7 linked regions of the Callithrix jacchus genome follow. The protein of the gene in region 1 purifies or fractionates together with the protein of each later gene. This does not show direct contact. Links are inferred from orthologs where the notes say so. Each region holds a gene or a part of one and is shown in the gene's direction. Other genes may lie near its edges.

Region 1 (4,029 bases):
AAAATTTTGGTAGCAATGAGATAGCTTTCAGTTCAAAGAAACATACTTAGTGGATATGTCCTCACCTTCAGAGTCGCGGATATTTGATTGTGCATTCTGTTATGGGTTCCAAAACATGATAAAAATTTTAAAAGAAGTTATTGGAAACTTGTATCTTTATCCACTTACTACAAGTTGGTTGGCATATAAAAATCAAAGCTTTGTTTAGGTGTATGTGAGTGACCATTGAGGAGGGTGAAACAAAGTGTTTTCTGTTTTTTTTATTTTTAAATATATACTTGTATTTTTGAAAACACAGATTACAAGGTTGTCCAAATTCCTGCCAACTGAAGATCTTTGTTAATTTATTAATGTTGAGTTTCTTTAATGATCCAGATACATTTTCTCCTCAGGTGTGGCGGTGCATGCCTTTAGTCCTAGCTACTTGGGAAGTTGAGATAGGAGGATGGCTTGAGCAGGGAGTTGAGGGCTGCAGGGAGCTATGGTCCTGTCGTTGCACTCCAGCCTAAGCAACAGAGTAAGACTGCAAAAGAAATAATAAGTTTTTAGGGGTTTCAGCTCTTCTGGAAGTTTTCTTTAAAAAGAATCTGATGTTAGATATTTCAGTTCTAGTGTAAAGTTTGGCCTATGTGAAGGATTTTTTTACTTTTTAAAGGAGAAAAAGCTGATTTGGGGAGTATTAGTAATAACACCTTTCTGCTCATCAGAAACTTGTGTATATGTAATGTTTCTATCTGTTGAAACTTGTGGATTTTTGAAAATTAATTTTGTTATATGCAGCTTTCACAAAAGATTATATTTCACTGACACAGTATACAGTAGGGTTCATTATATGATATATAAGCTTTATAAATTTTTTGTAGCTTACCAGCTGAAAATTTGATATTAAATTTAGTGTAAAAATGAAAATTATCAGATGTGAATAAATAGTTAACAGAAATGATTGACATTTGAGACAAAATTATAAGGCATTAAACCTTACATTTAAAAATTCAAGTTACCAGAAAAATAAAGTCTGTTCAGTTAACATTATACAACACAATATTTTTTCAGGGAGGCTTGTGGACCAGAATCTGAACAAAATTGGGAAAGATGAAATGCTTCAAATGATTAGACATGGGGCAACACATGTGTTTGCTTCAAAGGAAAGTGAGATCACTGATGAAGATATCGATGGTATTTTGGAAAGAGGTGCAAAGAAGGTGAGATGTAGATTAAATGATAATGCTTTTAATATAAAATGTTTCAAACCAGAAACTGAGGAAATATTTGTTACATTGCTTATAAATAATTTTATTTCCCTAAAAAGAGGCTTTTGTGTACATGAAGTTAATTTATTTTGACTACAGGTTCATGCTTGCTTTTTGTTTTGTTCTCTAGACTGCAGAGATGAATGAAAAGCTCTCCAAGATGGGTGAAAGCTCACTTAGAAACTTTACGATGGATACAGAGTCCAGTGTTTATAACTTTGAAGGAGAAGACTATAGAGAAAAACAAAAGGTAATTTAGAAATAGGTTTGGGATGCATGAAAGCTTTATTTTACTAGAAACTTGGAATTTTAAGTGGTATTATAATGTCTTGTAATTTTGCTTAAAACAGTATTTTTTGCTTATTCACATCTGAATCTTTATTATATAAAACTTAAGGCTGCTTTTTGAGTTGGGAAATTCTGAAATATTTTTACAGTTTCTGTGATGAAGTTTGTAGTATATATTGACAGTGAAATATATTCTTGTATGGGATGAATATAGTAATTTAGGATGTTAATCTGATTCATTTAATTTTAAACAGCCAAAGTGATGGTAATAAAGGGAAACATTTCTTAATTTCATAAGTAATACTTGGTAATATAGAGGGAAATTGGAAAATACCCATAGAGTAGAAGAAAAAAATAATTCTACCCAGTGTTTTTCTCGTTAACATTTAGGTCTATATCTTCAGAATTTGTTCTAGGCTAAACACATGTCTACAGTATTCTCCTAGTTTAGATTTATAGCAAACATTCTATAGTGTTTCTCCCTCTCATTTAACAGTTGTTCCTTTAAGCAAGAAATACTGAATGCTTACATTGTTGCTTATTAGGCACTGTCTCATGTGTTAATTATATACATGATATTGAGCAAAGTATTGTAGTCCCCAGCCTCATAGAGCTTATACCCAGGATTGAATGTCTTTCCATTTACAAAAACATCCTTCTTGATGATAATTTGTTACTGTGTGTAATAGAAGTTGGTGATTTGAGTTGTTTCCCATGTGCTAGATTGCATTCACAGAGTGGATTGAGCCACCTAAACGAGAAAGAAAAGCCAATTATGCCGTTGATGCATATTTTAGGGAAGCTCTTCGTGTTAGTGAACCTAAAGCACCGAAGGTGAGTTAACTGACACAGCATAAAAAGATCTAAAAATTTTTAAAATGTAATTATTTTCTTATATTCTTGCAAAAACATTGATAATTATATTTTGTATTTCTTTAGACTGTATTCTGTTTTTAGTTAACATTTTAAAAAAATCAGTTTTGAATCTGCATTTAAAATTAAGGTAACAATTCAGTTTTATTAAAAGATGCATTCATTTGCTTGGAAAATTGGCTGTCATGGTTTATGAAGTAAGAACTAAGGATACATTTAAAACAAAATTTCTTTTTTATAGATAACACTGTTTTTTTTTTCTTTAGGCTCCTCGACCTCCAAAACAACCCAATGTTCAGGATTTCCAGTTCTTCCCTCCACGTTTATTTGAATTACTGGAAAAAGAAATTCTGTTTTACAGAAAAACTATTGGGTACAAGGTAATTGAAATTGTCCACTTTTCTGTCCATTGCTATCCAGAATTTATGGAAGGTATAAACATTAGTTATTAATATTTATCTAATTTGGACCTAGTGGGAAAGAATATTGCTTTAGCCTATTCTAGTTGTATATGTCAAATACATAAGCTGTGTGTCTGTTACTCTTTAAAAAAGAAAAATAAGATTTCATGACGAATCTAGGTTGTTTTTAATGTAGTAAATGCAAGATATCAGTATATTTTCTTTCCTGGTTGAACAGAAACTTGTGAAATGTCAGTTAATTGGTTACACTTATTCCCGCCACCTGAAGTTAATTGGTTAAGAATTTAGTTCATCACTTGCTCTTTAAAACTTACTTACTGATGGCATAGAAAAATATCTCTTAGGTACCTCGAAATCCTGAGCTGCCTAATGCAGCACAGGCACAAAAAGAAGAACAGCTTAAAATTGATGAAGCTGAACCCCTTAATGATGAAGAGTTAGAGGAAAAAGAGAAGCTTCTAACACAGGTATATAGCCTTTATTCAGTACAAACTTTAATAACAGTTTATTGTAAAGTACTGTGTTGGGTGATGTTGGGGCATACAAATAAGTACAGGTTTCTGCTTTTAAAGATGGAATAATTGGAGACAACAAAGCATGGGCATGTGCATAAATGCTCCATTTGATTGTCACTAATTGTTGACGTAGTTGAGAAGACTAGTCTTGCCTTGGTAGGGTGGGTATCCTTTTTATCACCTTACTTTGAATGTTCTTGTCTTTCCTATGATTTTCCACATTGCTACCTAGTCACCATTTTCAATTATAAATCTTGGCTTGGTATGTTCTTAACATCCTTTGGTGTTCATCAAGGTCTTTTAGAATCTGGCCTTTAACCTACCTTTAAAGCTTTATTTTCCTTCCGTTTTTCTACTTGTTCATATTTTTGCCCTTTAGGTTATTCACTCTTTGTGGCCAGCAAAACTGTCACGTTTTCATACAGTGTTTCTTTTTTTTGGGTGGGGGGCAGAGTTTCGCTCTTGTTACCCAGGCTGGAGTGCAATGGTGCAAACTCGGCTCACCACAACCTCCGCCTCCTGGGTTCAGGCAATTCTCCTTCCTCAGCCTCCTGAGTAGCTGGGATTACAGGTGCACGCCACCGTGCCCAGCTAATTTTTTGTATTTTTAGTAGAGATGGAGTTTCACCATGTTGACCAGGAGGGTCTTGATCTCTTGACCTCGTGATCCACCTGCCTCGG
Region 2 (4,571 bases), on another chromosome or scaffold:
TCAGTGCTTGTATTTTAATTTTCATTTCACATATATGAACACAACTTTCACATGTGAAAAATTTCACAAATGTGAACACAATTGTGAACATAAATGTGTTCATATTTGGTGTATGATGACCACGAGAACGAGGAGGAGGAGGAAGAGGTGGACATGGTCTCCGAGGAGGAGGACGGCGAGGCCGAGATTGAAATAGCCATTTGGTGGACAGAAATCCTGTTAGGTATTTTTGTTTCTTTTTTTTCAATTTTGAGACAGGGTCTTGCTCTTTCACGCAGGCTGGAGTGCAGTGGTGCAATCACCACTCACTGCAACATCTGTCTCCCAGGCTCCAGCGATCCCCCCCATCTCAGCCTCTCATGTAGCTGGGACCACAGGTGCACACCACCATGCCCGGCTAATTTTTCAATTTTTTTCTAGAGACGAGGTCCTGATATGTTGCCCAGGGTTGTCTCGAACTGCTGACCGCAAGCTATCCTCCGGCCTCCGTCTCTCAAAGGGCTGGGATTGCAGGTATGAGTTTCCGAGCCAGGCCAACTATTTTTCTTTAAATTACTTTTTGGTTGTCACTTATCTCAAATATTCATATAAGTTTATAAAACCTCTTATCTGAAGAGCTGCCCTCAACCACTCACGGTTGAGTCCCTGTGATAAGGTTTGAGGGTGCCTGAAATGTCATCATGATTCGTCCCCTGGGCTAAGCTGAAACTTAGTGACTTGTCAGATAAATAAATCAAGGTTATTTCCCGATAATACAAACATAACACCGTGAAGTAGGTTTTTAGGCAGGATTTCGTTTTACACTGCAGAGGAGAGGGAAGTTCCTGCTGAGGTGGTAGCGGTCCTAGCTGGGGCACTGGGAGGGTGGCGGGAGACTGGAACGTGCAGTAGTTGCGTTCTGGAGTTTCCTGAGGCTTTCCGAGTGGGGGTTCCACGGAATAGGCCTTAAAGTGCCCCTCCCTCCGGGCGTGGCTCCTGGCACAGCGTGGAGCAGTTGTCATTCGAGTCAATTTCAGGACTCCAGCTCCCAGGTAAGGAGTTTCCTAAATTCTAGGAATTTCCCTTCGTCGGTGGCGCTGCCCAGTGTCCTCGGTCGTTCGGCCGCCCCGCTCCTATACCTTTTTTTCTTTTTCTCTGGCTCTTTCAGCATCAGTTTCCCTAGGGGGCCGGGAGGGGAATGATATTTGGGGGCTCTCCTGCCTTTCTCTCCGAGCCGCGGAAGGGGAGACGCGGGGAGGAGGTCCGGCAGGCTTTGGCCTCCAGCCAGGGGTCCGCGGAGACTATGGTCTCCGAAGGCCTTTGACACAGGGGCATTTCGCGAGCTGCGCACCCGTCTCTGCCGCGCCACCCGCGCCCGAAGTCCAGCTGCGCCTAGCTGCGCCGAACCCAGAAGCCCCGTGCTCCCCGCCCCCGACTCGGCGCTCCCGCGCTCCCCCTAGCGGCCGCTGCGCCGCCTCGCTCCGTCCAGGCTCGTCGGCGGCGCAGCTCACGTGACCGCGCTCCGGGCCTGCGGCCGCTGTCGGTTCCCCCAGTCACCGAGCGAGAGGGAAGAAACAAGATGGCGGCTGAAGGCGATCCGGAGTGGGGCCCCAGCAATTCGGATTGAGCCTTCTCCCTCCACCCGCTTCCGCCGGCTGGGCCCCTCCCGCCCGGCCCCGCGGGCTTCCCCACCCGGCCCCGGCGCTCCCCACCGCCCCCCCTGCGCCCGCCCCTCCCCCTCCGCTTTCCCTTCTCCCCCCCGCCTCGGCTCCGACATGAGGGGCCGGCGGGGCAGGCCGCCCAAGCAGCCCGCGGCTCCCGCTGCGGAGCGCTGCGCCCCGGCCCCGCCGCCGCCGCCGCCGCCGCCGCCGCCGCCCACGTCCGGACCCATCGGGGGGCTCCGCTCGCGGCACCGCGGCAGTAGTCGGGGCAGGTGGGCCGCCGCCCAGGCTGAGGTGGCGCCCAAGACGCGGCTGAGCTCGCCCAGGGGGGGCAGCAGTAGCCGGAGGAAGCCGCAGCCGCCGCCGGCCCCCCCCAGCACCAGCGCCCCGGGCCGGGGGGGGCGAGGAGGCGGGGGAGGCAGGACGGGGGGCGGGGGCGGCGGCGGCCACCTGGCCCGGACCACCGCGGCCCGGAGGGCCGTCAACAAAGTGGTGTACGATGACCACGAGAGCGAGGAGGAGGAGGAAGAGGAGGACATGGTCTCCGAGGAGGAGGAGGAGGAGGAGGAGGACGGCGACGCCGAGGAGACCCAAGATTCTGAGGACGACGAGGAGGATGAGATGGAGGAGGACGACGATGACTCCGATTATCCGGAGGAGATGGAAGACGACGACGACGACGCCAGTTACTGCACGGAAAGCAGCTTCAGGAGCCATAGTACCTACAGCAGCACTCCAGGTACCCACCCAGCCCAGTTGCTGCAGACTCCTTCCCCACCTCCTCTGCCCTCCCCCCTTCCTCACTCGTGTGCTGTGCATCCTGCTCCGATCTCCCCCCAACCCCGCCTTCCCCCCAAACAGAGGGGAAATGCGACGGCACATCAAGTGGCAAAAAACTAGATTTACAAGAGGAAAGAGGCGCATTGTTCAAAATGGAGATTGCATTGTTGCAGTTTGCAGGCCACACTCGCTTGCTCTCTCTCCCCCCAACCCCCTCTTTTTCCTCTTCAAAATTTGTGCCAGTGCGATGTCTCCACCGGGCAGGATTGAAACTTTGGCAGACACGTATCCATTGCATTCATTTTTCTTCCCTTGTTTTGGTGTGGTTTTCTGGAATGAAAGAAGCCTCTTGTTTTGCAAACCTCTTTGCATTTCTAATATGGTTTCTTTCAGATTTTTATTATATATCTGTTACTTAAAAGGGAATTAAGGATTTGGGCAGATTGTGGCACACAAACACACACAAAAACATGCCTGTTTTCACACCCCTAGCTGTGGTTTTAAAATTGTGTTAAGGAAATGGATCATTTGGGTTAGTAGGGGAACTTTATCTGGTCCTGCGTGTTTGTTTTTATTCTTCGAGTGCCAATGGGCTCATGCAACAGTTGCTGGTAAATGGCTGATGAAAAAGCAAAATAGAAAGCCAAACAAGACCCAACCAAATTTGGTAATTCATCCGATTCAAAATTGTTTTGGTTAAGTCAAAAATAAAAGTACAAAACCGCAGGAACGCTTGTCTTAACTCATTTGATCGCTTTGCCTGGCTTGGGAAATGCAGTTTCGTGTCACCTGTTGCACAAGATGTGTAGTTGATCCTCTAGACATAATTGCCGAAGATGAACTTTTTTCTAAGTCATGTAGCATCAGTATCAGATTTATTACACGACGACTTTTTCTTTTCACTCTATTTCTGAGGAAAAAGCCCTCACAGAAATCCGTAATGAATTTCTCCATGGTAACCCCTCTTCTGTTTTCTCACAAAAAGTTTCTCCAGGCTGGTGCTGAGATGCATTTTGTTAAAAACCCCTCACCCTCTTCCAAAAGACTGCTTTGTATTAAATAGGTAGTTGAAATTTACTAAATTGTGAAATTAACATAACCAAAGCAACAACTGGCAAGACTTTTCCTTTATAATTTTGCAAATCTAGATTAATTAAATTAGAATCTGGTTTTAAAAGCATTTGAAAAATAAAGTTTATGAGGAAATATTTGTGAGGAAAAAGGACCTTTTTTCCTTGAATTAAGGTGTGTCATGTCTTTCTCAGAGAGACTCGGATAGTAGAAGTGGTTAAATTGAGAAGTTTCTGTTTTTTATAAATGCTTACTTATTGGAGAAGTAGAGTAGTATTATATTAAGCCAAATGTAAACCCACATGAGTTGTCCTAACAAAGTGAAAAAAGGTAATTTATTTTGCCTGATGGTCAGAATGGTTGCCTGGCTTGTGAGGGTTGGGGGGGACTATGTGGAGAATGAAGGGAATGAATCAAGTGTCAGGTATTTATGTCTTAGATGTAGAAAGGACTACAGGTAAATTCTTGCCAACTTAATTTTAGCTCATCTTTTTGTTTTTGAGACGGAGTCTTGCTCTGTCGCCCAGGCTGGAGTGCAATGGCACGATCATGGCTCCCTGCAACCTCCACCTCCTGGGCTCAAGCGATTCTCCTGTCAGCCTCTTGAGCAGCCGGGATTACGGGTACCTGCCAGCATGCCTGGCTAATTTTTGTATTTTTAGTAGAGATGGGGTTTCACCGTGTTGGCCAGCCTGATGTCAAACTCCTGACCTCGTGATCTGCCCACCTTGGCCTCCCAAAGTGCTAGGATTACAGGTGTGAACCACCGTGCCTGGCCTAGTACACCTTTTATGGTAATAATTTTTACCTTGAGAAATCACTTGTTGGTCTTCATTATACACAGAACCGATAATTGAAACATGGAGACTGAATTGCATACACCCCTGGAGGAAGTGTTTCTGATTAAACAGAGCTGAGACATTTTGGCAGGGCAGTTCAGCTAACTTTAAGACCTATTTGAAGGCCTAGCAAATAATATATAGGATTGATAACTCGCATATGCTGACTTAAATTACAATCTGTAGCTAGGTGTCATTTAAAAAAATTTATTTACTTATTCTTTTGTGACATTTTGTTTTT
Region 3 (4,029 bases), on another chromosome or scaffold:
GGTGACCTACAGCGTGACTGGTGAGGATCCTGGGCTGGGTCCTCACGGGGGCCGCAGGGAGCCTCTGTCTCACCTCACATGTGCTCTCCCCTCCCAGGGTTTCTGGACAAAAACAATGACCTTCTCTTCCGGAACCTGAAGGAGGTGAGGGACCTGAAGTGGGGGCCGAGGGGGAAGGGGTCACCCACAACTCTGCACCTGTGTCCAGGGGCCTGTCCCTGTGCTCCAGCCTGACCCCGGCTCTGCCACACAGACCATGTGCAGCTCGAAGAATCCCATTATGAGCCAGTGCTTCAACCGGAGTGAGCTCAGTGACAAGAAACGGCCGGAGACGGTGAGGGGTGGGGCCAGGCGTGGGTGAGGGCTGAGCCAGCCTGGGAGCTGGCAGCATGCGTGTGAGCCCGTGTTGGTGCCCGTGTGCACATCTGTGGGTGTCTAGGGGGCTGCTTCTAGGTGCCTCTTTGGCTGCTGCTTTTTTTTTTTTTCAGACGGAGTTTCGCTGTTGTTACCCAGGCTGGAGTGCAATGGCATGATCTCGGCTTACCGCAACCTCTGCCTCCTGGGTTCAAGCAATTCTCCTGCCTCAGCCTCCCGAGTAGCTGGGACTACAGGCATGCATCACCATGCCCAGCTAATGTTTGTATTTTTAGTAGAGACCGGGTTTTACCATGTTGACCAGGATGGTTTCGATATCTTGACCTAATGAGATCCACCCGTCTCGGCCTCCCAAAGTGCTGGGATTATAGGCGTGAGCCACCGCGCCCGCCCCCCCCCCTTTTTTTTTTTTTTTTTTTTTTTTTTAGGCTGATCTCGCTCTGTTGCCCAGGCTGGAGTGCTATGGCCCAATCTTGGTTCACTGCAACTGAGATTCAACTCCCGGATTCAAGCAATTCTCCTGCCTCAGCCTCCCAAGTAGCTGAGATTACAGCCTCGCACCACCATGCATGGCTAATTTTTTGTATTTTTAGTAGAGACATGGTTTTGCCATGTTGGCCAGGCTGGTCTTGATCTCCCGACCTCAGGCAATCCACCCACCTCGGCCTCCCAAAGTGCTAGGATTACAGGCGTGAGCCTCGGCTCCCAGCCCTGTCTGCCTGCTTCTGCATGTGCTGTGTCTGTAGTGGGGCCGTGTCTCCTAAGTGGGGGGCTGTGCTGTAGGGGAATGTGTGTGTGCTCCTGTCTCCGTTGTGGGTGTCAGTATGTTGACACCTGCCTCTATGTGGGCACTCTCATGTCCACCCACTCAGCCGACATTTATAGCAGATGCTGCCCAGGCACCAGGGGGGTGCACCTGCAGCCACATGCACAGGGTGCACTGCGAACTTGGAAGAGAAACAGCAGATGGCCTCAGGGGTGGAAGGGGTGAGGGCTGGGAGGCTCCCTGGAGGAGGGAGCATTGGATATCACTTGAGAATGTCAGATGAACCTATAGTGAGGGCCCAACTCAGACACTCAGAGAGTTCGAAAAGGCCAGGAGTGGAGCCGGAAAGCGATGGCGTCAAGGAGAGGGACCGGGAAAGGCAGGCATAGGCGAGGTGCCAGAGGCAGAGCTCCAGCGAGCTGGGGGCGAGGGGCAGTCGTTGGGTTTGGCAAGGAGAGGATCAGGGCAGCCCCAGGAAGAGCGGGGTCGGTCGGTCAGCAGGGAGGTAGAGGCGAGACTGCTCACCAGGGAGGGCATGCAGGCACCATGCCGCCAGCGGTCTGGCTCTGTGGGCCCTGCCCACTGCTGCTGTCCACCCCACCATCTCCCGAAGTGCCCACATCCTCCTTGCGCTCGTATCTCCCTGCTGAGGATGCCTGCATACCCCTCCGGCCCAGGCCTCTCCAGCAAGCCACAGATGTTGTATCTCTTCTCTCCCCACATGGCCCCAGGCACCCTGGACTCCACTGGTCTATAACAGACAGGCCCTTGGTCTCTTCTTCAGGCTTCCTCCTCTGTCCCTAACTCAGGATAGGGATTACTCTCCACCCAGTCCCCCAGGCAAGAAACCTGAATGTCCTCCTGTTCCTTTTTGTTTTTTAAGACAGAGTCTTGCTCTGTTGCCCAGGCTGGAGTGCAGTGGTGCGATCTCGGCTCACTGCAACCTCCACCTCCCGGGTTCAAGTGATTCTCCTACCTCAGCCTCCCAAGTAGCTGGGATTATAGGCATCTGCCATCATGCCCAGCTAATTTTTGTATTTTTGTAGAGATAGATTTTTGCCATGTTGGCCAGGCTGGTCTCAAACTCCTGACCTCAGGTGATCTGCCCACCTTGGCCTCCTACAGTGCTGGGATGACAGGCGTGAGCTATTGCGACTAGCTCCCTGGTTCTCTACTCTCCTGCCTCCCTCATCCAGCTGCTGGATCTGGCTTGAGTCCTTCTCAGCAACTTCCCTCAGCTCCGGCTCCTTCCCGGTGGGATTACAGGCCTGAGCCACTGTGCCGGCCCTTCTCATCCTGTAACGTCCTGAAGACTCTCCTGATGCTCCCTGCCCCTCGGACTGGATGCGTTGTCCCTTTCTGGCGCTCTCAGGACCCCCAGGGATGCACCTGTTATTCCCTAGCCACCCAGAGTTGTTGGTCTTTGCTAAGTGTTTCTCCGCCTGGCCTGAGATCTTCCCCGTCCGACAGAGCAGTTTACCCTGATCATAGCCGAATGCGTAGCATGGGACATGCTGTTTGGGAATGCAGCCCTGGAGTTCTAGAAAGAAAAAGAAGGGCGGCTAAAGGGAGGTGTCGCACTGGGGTTGCTGGGAGACCTGAACAGGAGTGTGAGGCTGGAGCGCGGCTGTAAGCAGAGATCCCTCGCCCAGCCAGAGTGGTCTGGGGTGGAGTCTGGCCCCTTCCTTTTCTTCGGGGACGGTATGGTGGGAGGAATAAGGCCAGGCTGCCGCTCGGGTCCCCAGCCAGGGGAGTGGGATACACGCTGCTGGGGTCATGAGCTTTAGCCAAGCTCCGGTCAAGCTTCCTTGCCTCCTGGCCTCCCAGGTCGCCACCCAGTTCAAGATGAGCCTCCTGCAGCTGGTGGAGATCCTGCAGTCTAAGGAGCCGGCCTACATCCGCTGCATCAAGCCCAACGACGCAAAGCAGCCCGGTAGGCCTCTCCTGCCGGGTACTTCGGCCCAGCGTCCCCTGCAGGCAACAGGCAGTCAGCACTGGCCATTGACCACCCCCTCCCCAGCCGGCTGACTGCACCTCCACCTCCCCAGGCCGCTTTGACGAGGTGCTGATCCGGCACCAGGTGAAGTACCTGGGGCTGATGGAGAACCTCCGTGTGCGAAGAGCCGGCTTCGCCTATCGCCGCAAATACGAAGCTTTCCTGCAAAGGTCGGGACCGGTCCTGCTGGGCACCAGGGACGGGGTTGAGGGGGCAGGAGGGGAGGAGCCCCTGGGCCCCATTTTAGAATGTGGACGAGGGGCCCTGGGCCGCTGTGGGACTCGCGCCAGGAGCCTTTGGTGGAAAGAACACCTGGCCAGTCCCCTAGGCCGTGCCCTGCAGGAGCACCTGTTCGGAGTACCTGAGGCTTGACCCACACGCCGGGCACCGGAGGCAGACAGTAGCAAACCTTGTGGGCGGCTTCCAAGGAGCTCAAAAAGGGTGGAGCAACTTTGTGGTTCTGAGCTGGGGCCCAGGCTTCAATCGGTGTGAATTCCATCTCTCACTTTTAGTTTCCTGGCCTTAGGTAGATAATGGTTTCCTCATCTTTAAAACGGGATGGCCAGGCGAGGCGGCTCACACCTGTCATCCCAGCACTTTAGGAGGCCAAGGCAGGCGGATCACCTGAGGTCGAGAGTTGGGGACCAGCTTGAACGGCATGGAGAAACCCCGTCTTTACTCAAAACACAAAATTATTCACAGGGAACAAAGCAAAAAAAAAAAAACAGCCAGGCCTGGTGGCACATGCCTGTAGTCCTAGCTACTCAGGAGGATGAGGCAGGAGAATCGCTCAAACTCGGGAGGCAGAGGTTGCAGTGAGCTGAGATCTCGCCACTGCACTCCAGCCTGGGCAACAGAGTGCGGCTCCATCTCAAAAAAGAAAAAAAATGGG
Region 4 (4,029 bases), on another chromosome or scaffold:
GAGGCTGAGGCAGGAGAATCACTTGAACCCGGGAGGCAGTGGTTGCAGTGAGCTGAGATCGTGCCACTGCACCCCAGCCTGGGCATCAGAGCGAGATCCTGCCTCAAAAAAAAAATGGCCTATTTGATACAGATATATACACATACTTACACACTATTGTACATGGTCTTAGTTAAGATCATGTTTGTGGGTTGAACAGTAATGTAAAGAATTCCGACGTTGTGACCGGGCATAGGAGTCCGATAAACTCATTCGATTGGGCTTATCCATAGTATGTTAAAGATGCCTTTTGAGTTTTGTTTAGTAGGCATCTTGAAGACATGCAGACAGAATGAATGTACTGATTCACCAGTGATTGAGTCTGTGCGTCTGGAGTCAGAGAGGACAGTGAGAGGGAGAAGTCCCTCCTCCTGTGGAGCTGGTCTTTCTCGCTGCGTGGAATTTTAAAGCTTCCCAGCATGCCCAGCGATTCTGATGACAGCCATCCCCCCGGTGTGCCTCACGTGCACCATGAGCCACAAGCCCTCTCTCAGCTTCTTACTAACTAGGCAGTCCAAGGTTAGGGCGGCAGGGACATTTCCATTCTCCGGCACACTCTAAGAGTGGCTGGAGAGGCGCTAGGTTTTACTTTTGTGTCCGTGGAAGGGGTGAAAGGACGAGGATCTTGAGTCCTTTCAAGGACTCCAGCACCTTCCTGCTGACACTTGAATCACCTCACATCCACCTCCATCTGAGTCTGTCATGTTCTTTACATTTACTTGCCATTTCAGCTACTGAATTATTTTTTCTTTTCTTTTTTTTTTTTTTTTCCAGCAGAGCCATTGCCTGGCCTGGAAGAGAAACCAGCAAGTGTTGGTACTTCCGAGGGGGTATACCTCAAACAACTACCTCACCCCAGGCCTCCCCTGCAGACTGACCGCACCAGGCAGAGCTCACCCCAAGAGAGGGGGGAAACGTCAGGCCCAGAGCTCAAAGCCAACTCCTCCGAATCTGCAGACAGCTGTCAAGCAACCAAGGGCAAGAATCCCTGGCCCTCGGATAGCAGCTACCCCAGCCCAGTCACCCAAGGGTGCATGGGAGACCTCTCCGCGGTGGCAGACAGGGGCACTCTACCTGAAAACGGAGTCACTGGGGAAGCATCGCCCTGTGGATCAGAGGGGAAGGGCCTTGGTAACAGTGGTTCCGAAAAGCCGCTGTGCCCCAGAGGCAGAACGTTGCAGGAAACCGTGCCGTGCCCAAGACAGAACACAGCGACACCGCCCAGCACAGATCCCAGCTTGATGGGAGGCACTGTGAGCCAGTTCTCCCCGCTGTACATGCCTGGGCTGGAGTACCCGAATTCAGCTGCTCATTACCACATCAGTCCAGGCCTGCAGGGTGTGGGCCCCGTGATGGGAGGGAAGTCCTCAGCATCCCATCCCCAACATTTCCCCCCAAGGGGCTTTCAGTCCAGCCACCCACATACTGGAGGCTTTCCCCGGTATCGCCCCCCACAAGGAATGAGGTATTCCTACCACCCACCACCACAGCCTTCCTACCACCACTATCAGCGAACTCCTTACTATCCGTGTCCACAGGGCTTTTCTGACTGGCAGAGACCTCTCCATCCCCAGGGAAGCCCGAGCGGACCCCCCGCCAGTCAGCCTCCCCCACCGAGGTCCCTCTTCTCCGACAAGAATGCCATGGCCAGTCTGCAAGGCTGTGAGACACTGAATGCTGCCTTAACTGCTCCAGCCCATATGGATCCTGTGGCTGCTGAAGTCCCGAATGACGGGCAGAATCCTGGTCCAGAGGAAGAGAAGCTGGATGAATCTATGGAGAGGCCAGAGAGTCCCAAAGAATTTTTAGACTTGGACAACCACAACGCAGCCACCAAGCGGCAGAGCTCGCTACCAGCCGGCGAGTATCTCTACGGACCTCCTCCTCCGTCTCTGAGTGCGGGAATGGGCTTTGCTTCATCTGCATTTCCCAGCCACGGCGTGATGCTGCAGACGGGGCCTCCCTACACGCCTCAGCGGCCGGCCAGTCACTTTCAGCCCAGCGCTTACTCTTCCCCCATGGCTGCTCACCCACCTCACCACCCAGGGGCCCCCCAGCCCAACGGGCTCTCTCAGGAGGGCCCCATCTATCGCTGCCAGGAAGAGGGCCTGGGTCACTTTCAAGCTGTGATGATGGAACAAATTGGCACTAGAAGTGGAATAAGGGGACCTTTCCAGGAAACGTACAGACCGTCAGGGTAAGATTGCGTTCGGGCTTTTCCCTGCGAAGAAAGAACAGATGGTGGTGGTGGTTCTTTATTTTTGAGAGAGAGTCTCGCTGTGTCACCCAGGCTGGAGGGCAGTGGTGCCATCGTGGGTCACTGCAGCATCGACCTCCCGGGCTCGGGGAGCCTCCTGCATCAGTCTTTTAAATTACTGGGACTACAGGCACATGCCACCATGCCCGGCTCTTTTTTTTTTTTTTTTTTTTTTTTTTTTTTTTTTTTTGGTAGAGGTAGGGTTTCACCATGTTACCCAGGCTGGTCTCGATCTCCTGAGTACAATTCATCCTCCTGCCTCAGCCTCCCAAAGTGCTGAGATGACAGGCGTGAGTCACCACAGCCAGCCTGGATGTTTAAACAGAAAAATGGCCTTAGAGATGAAGACAGTAGTTGATGATCTGGGAATGAGAAGCGTATGTGAATTACTGGTGTTGCATGCTCGCTAGAAAGACACTAGATGTAGAGCCCAGCGTTATCCTTGAACGTTTTCCCCCTCATGAAAATGAATTGGCATTTACATGACTGAGTTAGATTTTGATACTGTAAACTTTTTGAGATGCGTCTCCCTGGAGTGCAATGGTGCGATCTCGGCTCACTGCAACCTCTGCCTCCTAGGTTCAGACTATTGTCCTCCCTCAGCCTCCCAAGTGGTTGGGATTACAGGTGCCCACCACCGCTCCCAGCTAATTCTTGTATTTTTTAGTAGAGACGGGTTTTCACCATATTGGCCAGGCTGGCCTCAAACTCCTGACCTCAGGTGATCCACCCCCCTCAGCCTCCCAAAATGCTGGGATTACGGGTGTGAGCCACCACGCCCAGCCAGCTTTTTTATTTTATTTTATTTTATTGAGATTAAATCTCCGCTCTTTGGCCCAGGCTGGAATGCAGTGGTGTGATCTCTGCTCACTGCAGTCTCCGCCTCCCAGGATCAAGCGACTCTCCTGCCTCATCCTCCCAAGTAGTTGGGATTACAGGTGCCTGCTGCCATGCCCAGCTAATCTTTACATGATACTGGAAACTTAGTAACCACAGTTTGAGAGCTGTAAGCAAATCTGTGTCAACACTGCTGCCGTGTGCGGACGCTCTGACGAAGGTAAAAAAATAAAGAAAACGTCTATCCAGGAGTAGAAGAGATCACATGTCATTGAAGTTTTATGGCCAGGCGCAGTGGCGCACACCTGTAATCCCAGCACTTTGGGAGGCCAAGGCGGGAGGAACAGAAGATCAAGAGATCAGGACCATCCTGGGCAACATGGTGAAGCACCATCTGTACTAAAAATACAAAAATTAGCTGGGTGTGGTGGTGCGCGCCTGTAGTCCCAGCTACTTGGGAGGCTGAGGCAGGAGAATCACTTGAGAGCCAAGATCGCGCCATTGCACTCCAGCCTGGGCAACAAGAGCGAGACTCTGTCTCAAAAGAAGAAAAAAGGTTTACTACATAACTCTCATTTCTTACTATATCATTGAGTAAGAAAACCAGTTTTATCCAGAATGCAAATAAGTCCCCATGAGACTTCTTTCACACGTGATTGTGCAGTGATGTTTTCGAGATCCAGTTAGGTGATCTGCCATTTAGGAAGTTTTCTTTTTTTTTAATTGCATTTTAGGTTTTGGGGTACATGTGAAGAACATGCAAGATAGTTGCATAGGTACACATGTGGCAGTGTGATTTGCTGCCTCCCTCCCCTTCACCTATATCTGGCTTTTCACTCCATGCTGTCCCTCCCCAACTCCCCACCCCCGCTGTCCCTCCCCTATTTCTTGGAAGT
Region 5 (4,570 bases), on another chromosome or scaffold:
GCACCTATCTTATTTGATCCTCAGAACAATCCTCCGAGGTAGGCACTATTATTAACTCCATTTACAGATCAGGAAATAGGCAGAGATATTAACTGATATACACACACTGTTTAGTTGTAGCCATTAAGTGCCAGAGATAGGATTTAAATCCAAGCCTACCTAACTTCAGGTAATAAATGAGTGACCACCATAAAAACTGCTCTTTTTATCTGTTGTAGTTCTTTGCTACACTATTAGGTAAAGCTCACCTTTCTACCTTTCTTCAAATTGCCAAGAGGATATTCCAGATTCAGACTTGAAATGATGCTTAGAAGCCCCTAAGCAATGTCATCCCTATTGTGTGTCTGTGGTGGTGGTTTTTCTAAAGCCCCATGCTTTAGAAAATGGGGCTTTAGAAAGACATAGACATATAAAAATAAAAACCAAAAAAAAAAAAAGGAAGGGGGCTTCTGTTCTTTGAGGAGAGGTTTATGTACTCATTTGTCCCCCCAGGACCTATTTGAATATATGCTTTTTTTTTCCCTGTCCCTGGCATCCCTGCATATATCTGAAACAGACAGAAATTATGGACATGTACCCTCCCCCAGGTACTCTATCTTACATTTTCAGATTTTGAACTCAATACCCGATTGTAGCCCATTTATTAGAATTCATATAATGAATAAAAAAAGAATATGTTTTTCTCTAATAATTTATTTAATTGTTCAGTAATTTCATCTTCTCTAACAAAAGGGATTAAAAGCATGCCATACCTGGCCAGGCATGGTGACTCATGCCTCTAATCCCAGCGCTTTGGGAGACCAAGGCATGAGGATTGCTTGAGCCCAAGAGTTTGGGATCAGCTTGGGCAACACAGTGAGACCCCCCCACCCCCCAGTCTGTATGCAAAAGAAGAAAAATTTACAAAACACACATACACCTTTACTTCACTATGAATTACAATAACTGACCTTACCACTTGTGGCTCAGCCACTAGTGCAATGGTGCAATCTCCGCTCACTGCAACCTCTTGCACCTGGGTTCAAGCCATTCTCCTGCCTCAGCCTCCCGAGTAGCTGGGATTACACGCATGTATCACCACACCCAACTGATTTTTGTATTTTTAGTAGAGACAGGGTTTTGCCATGTTAGCCAGGCTGGTCTCGAACCCCTGAACTCAGGTGATCTGCCTGCCTCAGCCTCCCAAAGTGATAGGATTATAGGCGTAAGCCTGGCCGTGACCAAGTTTAATAGAATGTTGAGATTATACTACTGTTTTCCTGTAGGTTACTGGTTTTTAACTGCTGAAAGGAAAAAGCCAGTAAATAGAACATAGTCACAGCAATATGAAATTCAGCCTATAACTTTCCAACAGCCCCCCAAAAAAGGTAATTTGTATTTTTTAGCTATTTACAGCTTTTGTTGTCTTTAACTGTATTTGGCATTTAGGACCTGACTATCTTATTTGAATACTGTTTGGAATCAACTGTGTATAAATTACTCCAGATTTCTTTAGAAAAATTGTGAAACAGATGAAGTTGTTTTTCCCATTAATCCTCCATTCTTCTTCTCCTTCTTCTCCTTCTTCTTCTCCTTGTTCTCCTTCTCCCTTCTTCTTTTTTTTGAGTTGGAATTTCACTTTTGTTGCCCAGGTTGGAGTACAATGGTGTGATCTCAGCTCACCGCAACCTCTCCCTTCAGGGTTCAAGCGATTATCCTGCCTCAGCCTCCCAAGTAGCTGGAATTATTAATTTTGTATTTTTAGTAGAGACAGGGTTTAACCATGTTGGCCAGGCTGGTCTCAAACTCCTGGCCTCAAGTGATCCACCCATGATGGCATCCCAGAGTGCTAAGATTACAGCCGTGAGCCACTGCACCTGGCCTACTCTTTTCAATTAAATACATTTAAAAAAAAATTCCACATGAATATGAACATATATTGTGCATCATTTAGTAAACATATTTGCTCATTTATTTTGCTTATATAAATGGTGACCAAAACTTTTTGATCAGTAACTTTACATTTAAGGGTGCAGACAACGGATGTTCCATTTTCATTATTTGGTTAAATTGTAAACATTAAATTGTACCTATGTTTCAGAACTTAATGAATCAGAGATAAAACTCAAGTAATTTGATGAACTCTACTTATTCTTTCTGATTCATATAAAGTATATTTTTCTGATTACTTGTGGATTCTTCATGCATTTGTTTATGCTGTATAATTATTCAGTTACTAATCATGGGTTTATTAGGCATGTTTTATAGACTTACCACTTTAAGAGAAATAAATACTTTTTCTCTAAACAAAAAAAAGGACACATACTCTGACAAATATATCTCTGGTGACAATGTTTCTGAATCACAGAATAGACTATCCTTCAAAATCTAAAACATAATGTTGCCAAATATATCAATTACTGAACAAATAAAGTCATTGTATAATTCAATGATAAAAAGTGATTTATTAGGGCCGGGCGTGGTGGCTCAAGCCTGTAATCCCAGCACTTTGGGAGGCGGGTGGATCATGAGGTTAAGAGATCGAGACCATCCTGGTCAACATGGTGAAACCCCGTCTCTACTCAAAATACAAAAAATTAGCTGGGCATGGTGGCGCGTGCCTGTAATCCCGGCTACTTGGGAGGCTGAGGCAGGAGAATTGCTTGAACCCAGGAGGCGGAGGTTGTGGTGAGCCGAGATCACACCATTGCACTCCAACCTGGGTAACAAGAGCTAAACTCCGTCTCAAAAAAAAAAAAGTGATTTATTGAATACCATTGATGTGCCAAGCACTTTATATACATTATACCTAATTTTTATGGCAACCTTGTAAGATGGCTGATATTATTTCCAATTTATAGATATAGAACCTAAGATTTAGGGTGGGAGTGGAGAGAGAGGGTGATGTAACTTGTCTAAGATCAAATGGCTGGTCTGTGCCAGAGCTGGGTCTCAAATTCAAAGCTGGTCTAACACCAAAGCCCATGTTCCTTCTCTAACGGTGCATTAGCTCAAATAACTTATGATGTCCTAGTGAGTCCTAGCGTACAGATACTTGTGGTTAAGAAAGGACAGAGAGAGAAATCAGAAGTGAGTCAGATAGACCTGGGTTGAATATTGGCTATACTGTCTCTATCACTTAATAGTTGTATGACGGCCGGGCACGGTGGCTCAAGCCTATAATCCCAGCACTTTGGGAGGCCAAGGCTGGTGGATCACGAGGTCAAGAGATCGAGACCATCCTGGTCAACATGATGAAACCCCGTCTCTACTAAAAATACAAAAAATTAGCTGGGCATGGTGGCATGTGCCTGTAATCCCAGCTACTCGGGAGGCTGAGGCAGCAGAATTGCCTGAACCCAGGAGGTGGAGGTTGTGGTGAGCCCAGATCGCGCCATTGCACTCCAGCCTGGGTAACAAGAGCGAAACTCTGTCTCGAAAAAAAAAAAAATAGTTGTATGACTTTGAGCATGACATCTTCTCTGAGCCTTCATTTTCTTCTTAGTAAAATGGGCTTAGCAATACTTACTCAGAAGATTAAAAGAGGTATTGTATGTATTGCTCTTGACACAGTGCCTAGCACATAGTAAGCATTCAATAATTGCTATCTGCTATTTCCATTGTGATTTTATAGTAGCAGTTCAAAGTGGCATTGATGTATTCTAGTAAAAATGTTATCATTGGCCGAGCTTGATGGCTCATTCCTGAAATCCCAGAGTTTAGGTGGACCGAGGCTGAAGGATCGCTTCAGGCCAGGAATTCAAGACCACCCCAGCCAACATAGTGAGATTCCCCATCTCTACCAAAACAGAACAACAACAACAACAAAACCTAGCCAGATGTGGTGGCACATGCCTGTAGTCCCAGCTACTTGGGAGGCTGAGGCTGGAGAATTACTTGAGCCTGGGAGGCAGAGGTTACAGTGAGCCAGGATCTCACCACTGCACTTCAGCTTGGGCAACAGAGTAAGAACCTGTCTCAAAAAAAAAAAAAAGGAAAAAAAAAAAAGCCAGGGAGAAGGGGGAGAAGTGGAGAGCGTGGCTAGAGAAGGAAGCCAAAAGAATGTATTATAACAGGAAGCTAATGAGTAGATGACAGACAGAATGGCTAAGGTTTTGAAGGCTGTGCTAAAGAGTTTTTCTATTGTTGTTTTTTGTTTGTTTTTGTTTTTCAGACAGGGTCTCACTCTCTCGGGCAAGCTGGAGTGCAGTGGCACGATCTGGGCTCACTGCAACCTCTGCCTCCTGGGTTCAGGTGATTCTCCTGCCTCAGTCTCCCACGTAGCTGGGATTACAGGCATGCACCACTACACCCAGCTAATTTGTGTTTTTATTTTGTATTTTATTTTATTTTATTTATTTTTTGAGATGGAGTCTCTCACTGTTGCCCAGGTTGGAATGCAGTGGTGAAGTCTCGGCTCACTGCAACTTCTGCCTCCCAGGTTCAAGTGATTCTCCTGCCTAAGCCTCCTGAGTAGCTGGGATTACAGGCACCCGCCACCACGCCCAGCTAATTTTTTGTATTTTTAGTAGAGAGAGGGTTTCACCTGTTTGCCAGGCTGGTCTGAAACTCCTGACCTTGTGATCCGCCT
Region 6 (4,029 bases), on another chromosome or scaffold:
AGAAACAATTTTAAAAAATGGTGACATTGTAAATAGCATTGTTCTGTACACTATGGTATCAGGGTTTGTGACGATTATGGAAAAACAAGACAAAATTAGTGGGCTTCTTTTGTTGTTGAGGGAAATTTTTGCTGAATAGAATAAACCTAATTAATGAATGATCAGAAATAAATTAACATTTTTATCATTAACAGTAACTTGCTGAACAATTAGAAAAATAGGTGTTCAATGTAAAATAATTATTATCCCCAAGTACTCCCCTGCCATTGTTTTTGAATTTTTTTCTTGTCATCAGGGCTGTTAAGCCAAATTCCTGTCAGATTCCTCAGGACTGAAGTATATTTTATTTTGAAATAGTTACTTTACTAGTTGTATTTATTGTGATCGTTTTGAGGATCCTGTAGGTCCTCAAAACAACTAGAAGATGTTTCAGTTAGTCCTGTTTCTGAGCTGTTAACTGTTTCTTCAGGGTTGTTTAAAATACATTAAGTGATATTTTGGCTAGGTGTGGTGGCTCACATCTGTAATCCCAGCACTTTGGGAGGCTGAGATGGGTGGATTAGTTGAGGTCAGTTTGAGACGAGCCTGGATAACATGGGGAAACGCCGTCTCTACTAAAAATGCAAAAATTAGCTGGACGTGGTGGCGTTTGCCTGTAATCCAGCTATTCAGGAGGCTGAGGCAGGAGAATCGCTTGAACCTGGGAGGCAGAGGTTGCAGTGAGCCGAGATCGCCCCACTACACTCCAGCCAGCAAGAGTGTTTCAAAAAACAAAAAGCGATATTTTGGAGCTAAAAGATTTTGCATTGAGTTGAGGGATGAGATGTCACCAAAATTCAAGGAATGCAGGAGGACTATGTAGAAGTTGCTGCCTTACATATCATTTCTTTTTGTGAGACAGAGTGTCCCTCTGTCACCGGGCTGGAGTGCAGTGGCGCAACTTTGGCTCACTTCATCCTCCGCCTCCGAGGTTCAAACGATTCTCCTGCGTTAGCCTCCTGAGTAGCTGGGGTTGCAGGCATGTGCCAGTATGTCCAGCTAATTTTTGTATTTTAGTAGAGACAGGGTTTCACTATATTGGCCAGGATGGTCTTCATCTCCTGACCTCGTGATCTGCCCCCATTGGCCTCCCAAAGTGCTGGGGTTACAAGAGTGAGCCACCATGCCTGGCCACATATCATTTCTTATAACAGATTAGAGTTAGGGAGAGGATTGGATAACTACTATACATGAGGCACTTTTTACTCCATATTTAATCTGAAAGTGGGAATTACTAGGAAAATATCTTACTGAGTCTTTTTACCTTTAACAGTGAAACTGGAGCGCCAAGCTGAAGAAGAACGAATACGGAGGCACAAAGCAGCTGCTGAGAAAGCTTTCCAGGAAGGGATTGCCAAGGCCAAACTGGTCATGCGCAGGACTCCTATCGGTACAGATCGGAACCATAATAGGTCAGTTCCTAAACCTAATTTTTGTTTTCTTCCAGGACTATTTTTAATGCTGTTAGTTAACGAAAATTACCTAAAGTACAAGAATAGACAAGCTTCTCTCTTGAGTTTTCCGATTGTGTTTGGAAACAGAATTGTTGATGATTGTTGAATATTAACTGTGCCAAATGCTAGAGTTGCAAAGTTAAGTGAGAATGTTCCTGCCCTTGAAGATACCACAAGTAGGAAGCTTATATGATGGTGACAGTTGAAGTGTGATCCAAATACAAGTCTTTAAAAATGGCAGTAGGTTTTAAACGCGTACATTTTGTGAAACCTAAAGAAGAGAAATATTAGTAGTTACACAAATTACAGCTGGTTGTGGTGGTGCACACCTGTAATCCTAATACTTTGGGAGGCTGAGGTGGGAGGATTGCTTGAGGCTAGGAGTTTAAGACCAGCCTGGCCAACATAGCCACCCATTTCCATTAAAAAAAGAGAGCAGTTATAAAAATTACAGACATTAAACTAGTCTCCAGTTTTAACATTTCTTATATGCTTTGATTTACCTTACAGTTTTTATCTGTCTAGAGTTCTGAAGAGGAAGAATTCTGTAAACGTGGTTTTGAATGCTCAGTGATACTCTAATCTCCAGGAGTAAAATTCTCCTGCAATCCTGATCTGTTGATTCTTATTAATACTGGTTGTGGTTTGTAGATACTGGCTCTTCTCTGATGAAGTTCCAGGATTATTCATTGAAAAAGGTTGGGTACATGACAGCATTGACTACCGATTCAACTATCACTGTAAAGAGCACACAGACTCTGCTGATGAGGATTACTGTCCCCGCAGTGAGTATCTCTGTCTATCTGTGAGTTATTTCACCCTGCTCAAGTGGGCTCAGCATTAAGGACTGCCCTTCCTCTGTCCCCTTTTCCATTTGCAAAATTTCTGTATTTTGATCTTAGGTATGTTTGAGTTAAGTGGGTAGATGTGAAATGTGTAGAGAGAAGGAAAGAAACCCAGATTTGATTACTACTTTTGTTCTAAGCGTAGTGTGAGAAGATAAAGAGCTTGAATAGTAGGGTATTTGGGTATTAGATTTTATAGAAGTTTTCAAAACTGTCCCTTAGAAGCCATCATAGGTGCCTGAATTGCTAAAATTGAGGTATAGGGGCTAAGAAGGCAGTGTTACATTTTCTCTTCTTCTACCTTTTTTTTTTTTGGGATGGAATATCACTCTTGTCACCCAGGCTAGAGTGCAATGGTGCAGTCTTGGCTCACTGCAACTTCTGCCTCTTGGGTTCAAGTGATTCTTTGCCTAAGCCTCCCACATAGCTGGGACTACAGTTGTGTGCCACTACACCTTGCTAATTTTTGTATTTTTAGTAGTAGTTTTGCCATGTTGGCCAAGCTCATCTCGAATTCCTGACATCAGGTGATCCACCTGCCTTGGCCCTCCAGAGTGCTGGGATTACAGGCGTGAACCACCATGCCTGACCATCTTCTTCTACTTTTAAAGTTAATTTATTCAGTGTTTATGAAGCCGAAACCTATACTGAATAATTTTCTGAATATATATTCATATTCTTTCTTAAAGTATGTATGTTGGGTATATTTCAAGAAAGAAACAAATTTTAATTAAAAAAATAAGATGCTTAGGTTAGGTTGGGTTTTCTCAACCTCAGTGTTACTGACGTTTTGGGCCAGATGAATCTTTTTTATTTTCTTCCACCATGATACTGATGAGGAAGATAGTTTTTTGTCCTGGGAGCTGACTTTCGCCTTGTGGTTTATTTAGGAGCTTCCCTCTACATAGCCAGTAGGTGGTAGTAGTGAGAACAAAGTATGTCTCGAGATCCTGCCAGATTTCCCCGGGCAGGCAGTAGTGCTCCCTCCCCATTGAGAACCACTAGGTTCAATGATCCATAAGCTTCCTTCCAGTTCTGCTGTCTGTAACCTAATGAAAATGGCTTATGTGTTGGTGTCATGTGGGAGATAAAGATAAAAAAGAAAATTGGTTCCTGAAGACTAAATTATTGTGCTTCTTTGATAAATCTTTTTTTAAAAGTAATTTTTCATTTTAGAGAAATTTCTAACTCAAACTTGAAACTCACAAAATTGTTAAAGAAGAATACTACTGATTTACAAAAATAAACATTCCTTCAAATTTAAGGTGTTTTCATGTTGTATTGAGCATAGATTATGTCACTTAGTAGAAGAATCTAGTTTTGGCAGACGTTATAAATACTCAGGTGAGGGCAGTTACATGGAGAGCAGTATCTGTGGATTCTGGATGTTTAGATTTGGAAGGCATTCCAGCAGGATGAAGGAATTTTACTTTATAATGTGTTCCAAAAGCCTGGTGGCAGTTCTTGAAAGTAACGTCTACACAGTTAAAGCGCCCTGAGAGAAGATTGAGAACCCAGACCCTTTACTTCTAGAGCGTCCTGGTAGGTGTTGTTTTGTGTTTTCCAGTTCCAGAATAGCAGTTTCTTTTTAAAATAACCCAACTGAGGCTGGGTGTGATGGCTCATGTCTTGTAATCCCAGCACTTTGAGAGGCTGAGACAGGTGGATCACTTGAGTTCAGGAGTTGAGAA
Region 7 (4,490 bases), on another chromosome or scaffold:
TAGTAGAGATGGAGTTTTACCATGTCGGCTAGGCTAGTCTCAAACTCCTGACCTCAGGTGATCTGCCCACCCTGGCCTCTGAAATAGCTGGGATTACAGCTGTGAGCCACCATGCCCGGCCCATGTATTTTTAATTCATACTGTATCATGTCTTGTAAATTTGCAACAGAAATTCAAGCTTTCTAAGACAACACGAATTCATCACATTCCAACTGATGCCCTCAAGTGCTGAGGAATATTACACACTGCAGAAAGTTGATATCCACTCCCCCCCACTTTTTTTTTTCCTTCATACAGGTGAATATGACCATCTCCCAGAACAGGCCTTCTATATGGTGGGACCCATTGAAGAAGCTGTGGCAAAAGCTGATAAGCTGGCTGAAGAGCATTCATCATGAGGGGTTCTTGTGTCTGTCCCTCTCCTTGCCCCTAATCCAGAAAGCTTCATTTTTCTGTGTAGGCTACACAAGAGCCTTGATTGAAGATACATTCTGTCTGAACAGTATTTAAAGTTTCCAATAAAATGTACACCCCCCCAGAATTTGTCTGTTTCTCTTGGTTCTGACAACATCATCAACAGTGAAGGGTTATATATTTTTAGTTTTAGAGACATGTCTCCAACTCTAGGGCTCAAGAGATCTCCCACCTGTCTTCTGAGCAGCTGGGGCTACAGGTGTATGGAGTCTCACATCACCAGCACTGTTTTCAACAGATTTTTATAGAGTGGCCATAAAAAGCAGTTTCAGTGTGAAGTTGGCCATGTATGTTTGAAATCAGTCCTCAAAAATAGTCATTCTCTTGCTGATAGACAACCATACCTCTTGTGAGGAGTTTCTTGTGGATAGTGTGATCTTAGGGCCTCAGTTTTGGGCCTTTTATTCAATGCAAATTGATTTCCCCCCCCATACCATGTAGCACATTACTGCTTGGTTAAAAATAGGCCTTTTTTGAAGGGCATATTGGGAAAAATTTGTTCTAGAAATAACTTTTTCCAGGGGTTAATCTGAGTTTAATGAATTAAATTTTCAAGAAAGAGTGACAAAGAATACTATCTTTGTTAAAATTGAATCAAAAAGGGTCCTCTACATCTTGGTTAGGAATTCCTGTCTTCAGAAAGTGTACTTAACTACTTCCTGACGTTTTGGGCAAGCCTAGAAAAAAAGTTGCTTGTGATTTCTTGAGGCTATGCAAAGGCTTATAATACCATGAGGCCTAGTCTGCCCTCTGTGAAGATCCCTTATGAAAGTCCAGAAAAGATCTTACAAGGGAATAACAATATTCAGTGTTGTCAGGGGTTCCAAACTAATGGAATTAGGTAATTTTCTCTTCATTTTAGCCCACCTTGAGAGGTGCAAGGATAGGTAGATTTCACCATTTCAATTTAAAAGAAGCAGACAAGGTCAGATTGGGTTCCTCATGTGTTCTTTCCTGAGACCAGACCTATCCTACTGCCCTCTCGCGGTAGCACTGGAGACTGGAAGAACACTGATCCCATTTTCAAATCCACGAAGGCTGGGATGTGGTTCTCAGTGAAAGACTGTTTACAAACCAGCTGGGCAATTTGTCCTGGGGAGGAGCCTGCATCGATAAGCTCCACCCCCTGAGGCCATCAAGTTAGGTAGAAGCTGGGCGGAGATAAACCGAGCTCCCAATTCAGAGGCCCCTGGGGGCTGAAGGTTGGGGAGGGCCATTTGGCGCGGCGCCAGGGGTGGAGTAGGGGCCTCCAAGCTTTCTTCCATCTGCCTGTGACGTCCTTGGCAGCAGCCTCTCCCGCAGTCTCTCCTGTGTCATGATCTGGACAGAAGGTGGAGCCCCTGAGCTGCTTGTGCTGGTAGTTTGCTCCCAGGAAAGCCTGGATTTGGGGAAATGCTGAGTTATGGGGGTGGGGACACTTCCTCTAGGTCCTGACTTGGAGTGGGTAAGAAGCTGGTACAAAATGCCCTAGGCCCCAGGTCAGCCCTTTCTTTGTTTTCTCACGTCACCCAATACAGACCTGGGAACTGAAATCTTAAAGGTCTTTTGCATCCCTCCACCCCTTCCCCCAACACGTTCACGTCCTTCAGCGTTTATCGAGAACCTTCTCCCTCTCACTAGCTGCAACTATTTATTTCCTTCTCCCTTTGCCGCCCTCTTCTACCAAGCCACTGGAGTGTCAACACAGCTCTAACCTTCCTCCATATTTCTCCTGGTCTGCCCTGTCCTCGCCTCCTCCCTCTCTCCACCCAGAGAAAGCCCCGCCCTTCCCTCCTCCCTCCCCACCCAGTCTGTCACACAGGGACATCACCCTACAGCAGTTCAGACTGTGTGGTTCGCAGGAAGCATACACTGGCTTTTGATTCTTGCTAGTTCCCAGCTCACAGTTTGGGAGGATCCAACACCAGCCTTTACGTGAAGCGGGGGCACAAGGACAGTGAGGAGCTGGGTGATCCCAGCCTGGAGTCCTGCCAGCCTGACATGGGTGAGTATGGGGACCAACCCCGGGGAAGGCCTGAGGGATGCCTACTCCCTCCCTGGCTGACTCAGCAGGGGTGGGGCCTAACCTTTGCTCGTTTTGGGGGTGAAGGGGAGGAAACAGGACCCGGGGACGGGAGGGGGGCTCAGGGCTCAGCCGCCGATCACGGGATCCCGAGTATGGGCAAGCCCCAGCTCTAAGGAAGAGCCTGAGACGCACCTTAGGCCAGGGCTTTCCCAACCCCCTCCCCGTCGCCCCGTGGAGGACTGTCCCTTCTCCTCCCCATTTAAGCTGTTGAAATTCAAGGAAATTTTGACAGTACTCACTGCTAGCCCCCACAAAAGTAAAGCCCGCTTTTGGCCGTGCTAGAAGGTGTTTAAAGTGCGTCCCCTTCTTAATTTCTCTAAGGCCTTTTAAGTCTCTGTCTCCTCTCCTCCCCCACCCTGACCCACCTTCAGGTGGGGGCTGCACTGAGCAGCTGCTTCCTGTTGCCCCAGAGACTGAAGCAAGGGTGGTTGGTGGTTGGGGGAAAACTGAACCAAAGTCGATTCTCATGGTCCCACTTGAGCCTCACTAGGGCTGCTATTGATGGCCACCACATTACAGTCACTGAAGGCACTGAGTGGGAGGCAAGATTGAGGTTGAGAGGATAGCTTTTTGCCCTCGTGGCTTCCTGATTCCAAAGACCCCACAGCTGTAGGGATGGAGCCCTGAGGAGCTGAAACACCGGGAACCTGTTCACCTAGTAGGTCCCTGCGCATGACCCCCAGCAGGCTCAGCCTTGAGTTCCTCTCCTTCACCCCTAGGCCTCCTAGGAGCCCATGTAGCTCTCTCAGCCTTCCCCGGCCTCCTTTGTGAAGCGGTCTTTGCTGGTGCCCTGGGAGCGCGGGCAGAGCTCTCCCGAGTCCTTCCGTTCGGACCTACCACCATCCCCCACTTTACCGCAGAAGTTTCTGTCTCTTTCTGGGATCTGTTCTCAGCCTCCCATCTGGAATCCTTCCTGGTTCTGGCCCCTAGGAGACGCCACCCGCTTCCCTCTTCCCCAGAGAATCCTTCGCGTCTGCTCTCCCGAGCAGTTGTCCTCACCCCGGTAGCTCCTGCCCCTTTAAGCGCCATCTCCTCCCCTCCGCCGCCGCCGCCGGCCCAGGGCTGGGGGAGGAGGCGCCGCCGCCGCCGCCCGGCTCGGCCACCTGCGCCGCTGCCGCCGCCGCCGCCGCCGCCCGCAGCCCGGCCCTGCGCTAGGTGAGGTCCGGCACCCACCTCCAGCCCCGGAGTCCCCGGGCGGCCCGTTTCTGCGGTATCCTGCCCCGGGATCCCTGCTGCCTCAGGATTCAGAATCTGACTCCCTCTGCGGGAGCTGGCCTTCCTCTCTTCCCTTCACTATCTACTCTCCCATTTTTCCCTCTGTCCTCTGCAACCGGAATCCGGAGGCTTCTCACGCCTCTCCGCCATCCTCTCCCAAGTACCCTTCCTATTCTGGGCCCAGGATCTCCCCCTCCCCCGCGTCTTCCTAGCCAGAAAAATCTCCCGCGGTCTGGGTTTCGCCTCCTCCCCTCTGGAACTAGCGCTTTCCCACGCCTTCCTAACCCCAATGGGAGGGGGGATACCCACCCCAACTCCTCTCCTTCCCTGTAGTAAGGGGGGCGGGGGAATAACAGCAACTACACTTACTATCTGGCCTTGCCCCGCTCAGCCCTTTTAAGTTCAGCTAAGTCCCATCTAAAGCTTTTCTGTAGTCCTTACCCTACCCTACAGCTCCAGGAGCTCGGGGTCCAACCTCAGCACCGCCTACTGAGCCCAGGTGGGAAGGGCTCTCCTCTTGGGCCTAGGGTTGGTCGGTCCAGCCTAGGAGCACCCCTCCCCCAGTATCTGGGAGCTGGGGGCCGGGGCGCTGCCGGAATCTTGTGCTACTGGAGCAGTTGGGAGAGAGTGGGTGGGGAACTGGGGCGGTGGGGAAGGCAAGAGAAGTCCAGTTTTCTCTGTTTAGATCCAAAGGAAGCCCTTCCACCCCCTAGGAATTAAGGGCTTTCTCTAACTT

What was found.
Region 2: the proteins of SMARCA5 (region 1) and BPTF purify together in Homo sapiens (affinity purification with mass spectrometry; 4 studies listed by BioGRID and IntAct, with this or other methods). This does not show direct contact. The link is inferred for Callithrix jacchus from reciprocal best matches to the Homo sapiens genes SMARCA5 and BPTF.
Region 3: the proteins of SMARCA5 (region 1) and MYO1C purify together in Homo sapiens (affinity purification with western blotting; 3 studies listed by BioGRID, with this or other methods). This does not show direct contact. The link is inferred for Callithrix jacchus from reciprocal best matches to the Homo sapiens genes SMARCA5 and MYO1C.
Region 4: the proteins of SMARCA5 (region 1) and CECR2 purify together in Homo sapiens (affinity purification with mass spectrometry; 3 studies listed by BioGRID and IntAct, with this or other methods). This does not show direct contact. The link is inferred for Callithrix jacchus from reciprocal best matches to the Homo sapiens genes SMARCA5 and CECR2.
Region 5: the proteins of SMARCA5 (region 1) and BAZ1A purify together in Homo sapiens (affinity purification with western blotting; 8 studies listed by BioGRID and IntAct, with this or other methods). This does not show direct contact. The link is inferred for Callithrix jacchus from reciprocal best matches to the Homo sapiens genes SMARCA5 and BAZ1A.
Region 6: the proteins of SMARCA5 (region 1) and BAZ1B purify together in Homo sapiens (affinity purification with western blotting; 11 studies listed by BioGRID and IntAct, with this or other methods). This does not show direct contact. The link is inferred for Callithrix jacchus from reciprocal best matches to the Homo sapiens genes SMARCA5 and BAZ1B.
Region 7: the proteins of SMARCA5 (region 1) and BAZ2A purify together in Homo sapiens (affinity purification with western blotting; 3 studies listed by BioGRID and IntAct, with this or other methods). This does not show direct contact. The link is inferred for Callithrix jacchus from reciprocal best matches to the Homo sapiens genes SMARCA5 and BAZ2A.

The regions. Positions count from the first base shown.
Region 1 is NC_133504.1:53,197,223-53,201,251, reverse strand, and holds part of SMARCA5 (SWI/SNF-related matrix-associated actin-dependent regulator of chromatin subfamily A member 5), read left to right. Parts: intron 1-1,053; coding exon 1,054-1,202; intron 1,203-1,380; coding exon 1,381-1,500; intron 1,501-2,261; coding exon 2,262-2,372; intron 2,373-2,677; coding exon 2,678-2,791; intron 2,792-3,177; coding exon 3,178-3,300; intron 3,301-4,029. UniProt on the Homo sapiens protein: ATPase that possesses intrinsic ATP-dependent nucleosome-remodeling activity.
Region 2 is NC_133506.1:90,441,035-90,445,605, reverse strand, and holds the start of BPTF (nucleosome-remodeling factor subunit BPTF), read left to right. Parts: upstream 1-1,530; 5' UTR 1,531-1,754; coding exon 1,755-2,379; intron 2,380-4,571. UniProt on the Homo sapiens protein: Regulatory subunit of the ATP-dependent NURF-1 and NURF-5 ISWI chromatin remodeling complexes, which form ordered nucleosome arrays on chromatin and facilitate access to DNA during DNA-templated processes such as DNA replication, transcription, and repair.
Region 3 is NC_133506.1:66,758,973-66,763,001, forward strand, and holds part of MYO1C (unconventional myosin-Ic), read left to right. Parts: coding exon 1-20; intron 21-97; coding exon 98-144; intron 145-253; coding exon 254-334; intron 335-2,968; coding exon 2,969-3,074; intron 3,075-3,189; coding exon 3,190-3,307; intron 3,308-4,029.
Region 4 is NC_133502.1:212,660,941-212,664,969, forward strand, and holds part of CECR2 (chromatin remodeling regulator CECR2), read left to right. Parts: intron 1-813; coding exon 814-2,236; intron 2,237-4,029. UniProt on the Homo sapiens protein: Regulatory subunit of the ATP-dependent CERF-1 and CERF-5 ISWI chromatin remodeling complexes, which form ordered nucleosome arrays on chromatin and facilitate access to DNA during DNA-templated processes such as DNA replication, transcription, and repair.
Region 5 is NC_133509.1:69,378,569-69,383,138, reverse strand, and holds the start of BAZ1A (bromodomain adjacent to zinc finger domain protein 1A), read left to right. Parts: upstream 1-1,306; 5' UTR 1,307-1,367; intron 1,368-4,570. UniProt on the Homo sapiens protein: Regulatory subunit of the ATP-dependent ACF-1 and ACF-5 ISWI chromatin remodeling complexes, which form ordered nucleosome arrays on chromatin and slide edge- and center-positioned histone octamers away from their original location on the DNA template to facilitate access to DNA during DNA-templated processes such as DNA replication, transcription, and repair.
Region 6 is NC_133503.1:10,220,608-10,224,636, forward strand, and holds part of BAZ1B (tyrosine-protein kinase BAZ1B), read left to right. Parts: intron 1-1,312; coding exon 1,313-1,451; intron 1,452-2,144; coding exon 2,145-2,278; intron 2,279-4,029. UniProt on the Homo sapiens protein: Atypical tyrosine-protein kinase that plays a central role in chromatin remodeling and acts as a transcription regulator. Involved in DNA damage response by phosphorylating 'Tyr-142' of histone H2AX (H2AXY142ph).
Region 7 is NC_133510.1:63,014,056-63,018,545, forward strand, and holds the start of BAZ2A (bromodomain adjacent to zinc finger domain protein 2A), read left to right. Parts: upstream 1-1,616; 5' UTR 1,617-1,789; coding exon 1,790-1,831; intron 1,832-1,854; exon of another isoform or gene 1,855-1,876; coding exon of another isoform or gene 1,877-1,918; intron 1,919-2,297; exon of another isoform or gene 2,298-2,346; coding exon 2,347-2,458; intron 2,459-3,597; exon of another isoform or gene 3,598-3,694; intron 3,695-4,490. Other genes in the region: ATP5F1B (ATP synthase F(1) complex subunit beta, mitochondrial), read left to right, coding at 298-398. UniProt on the Homo sapiens protein: Regulatory subunit of the ATP-dependent NoRC-1 and NoRC-5 ISWI chromatin remodeling complexes, which form ordered nucleosome arrays on chromatin and facilitate access to DNA during DNA-templated processes such as DNA replication, transcription, and repair.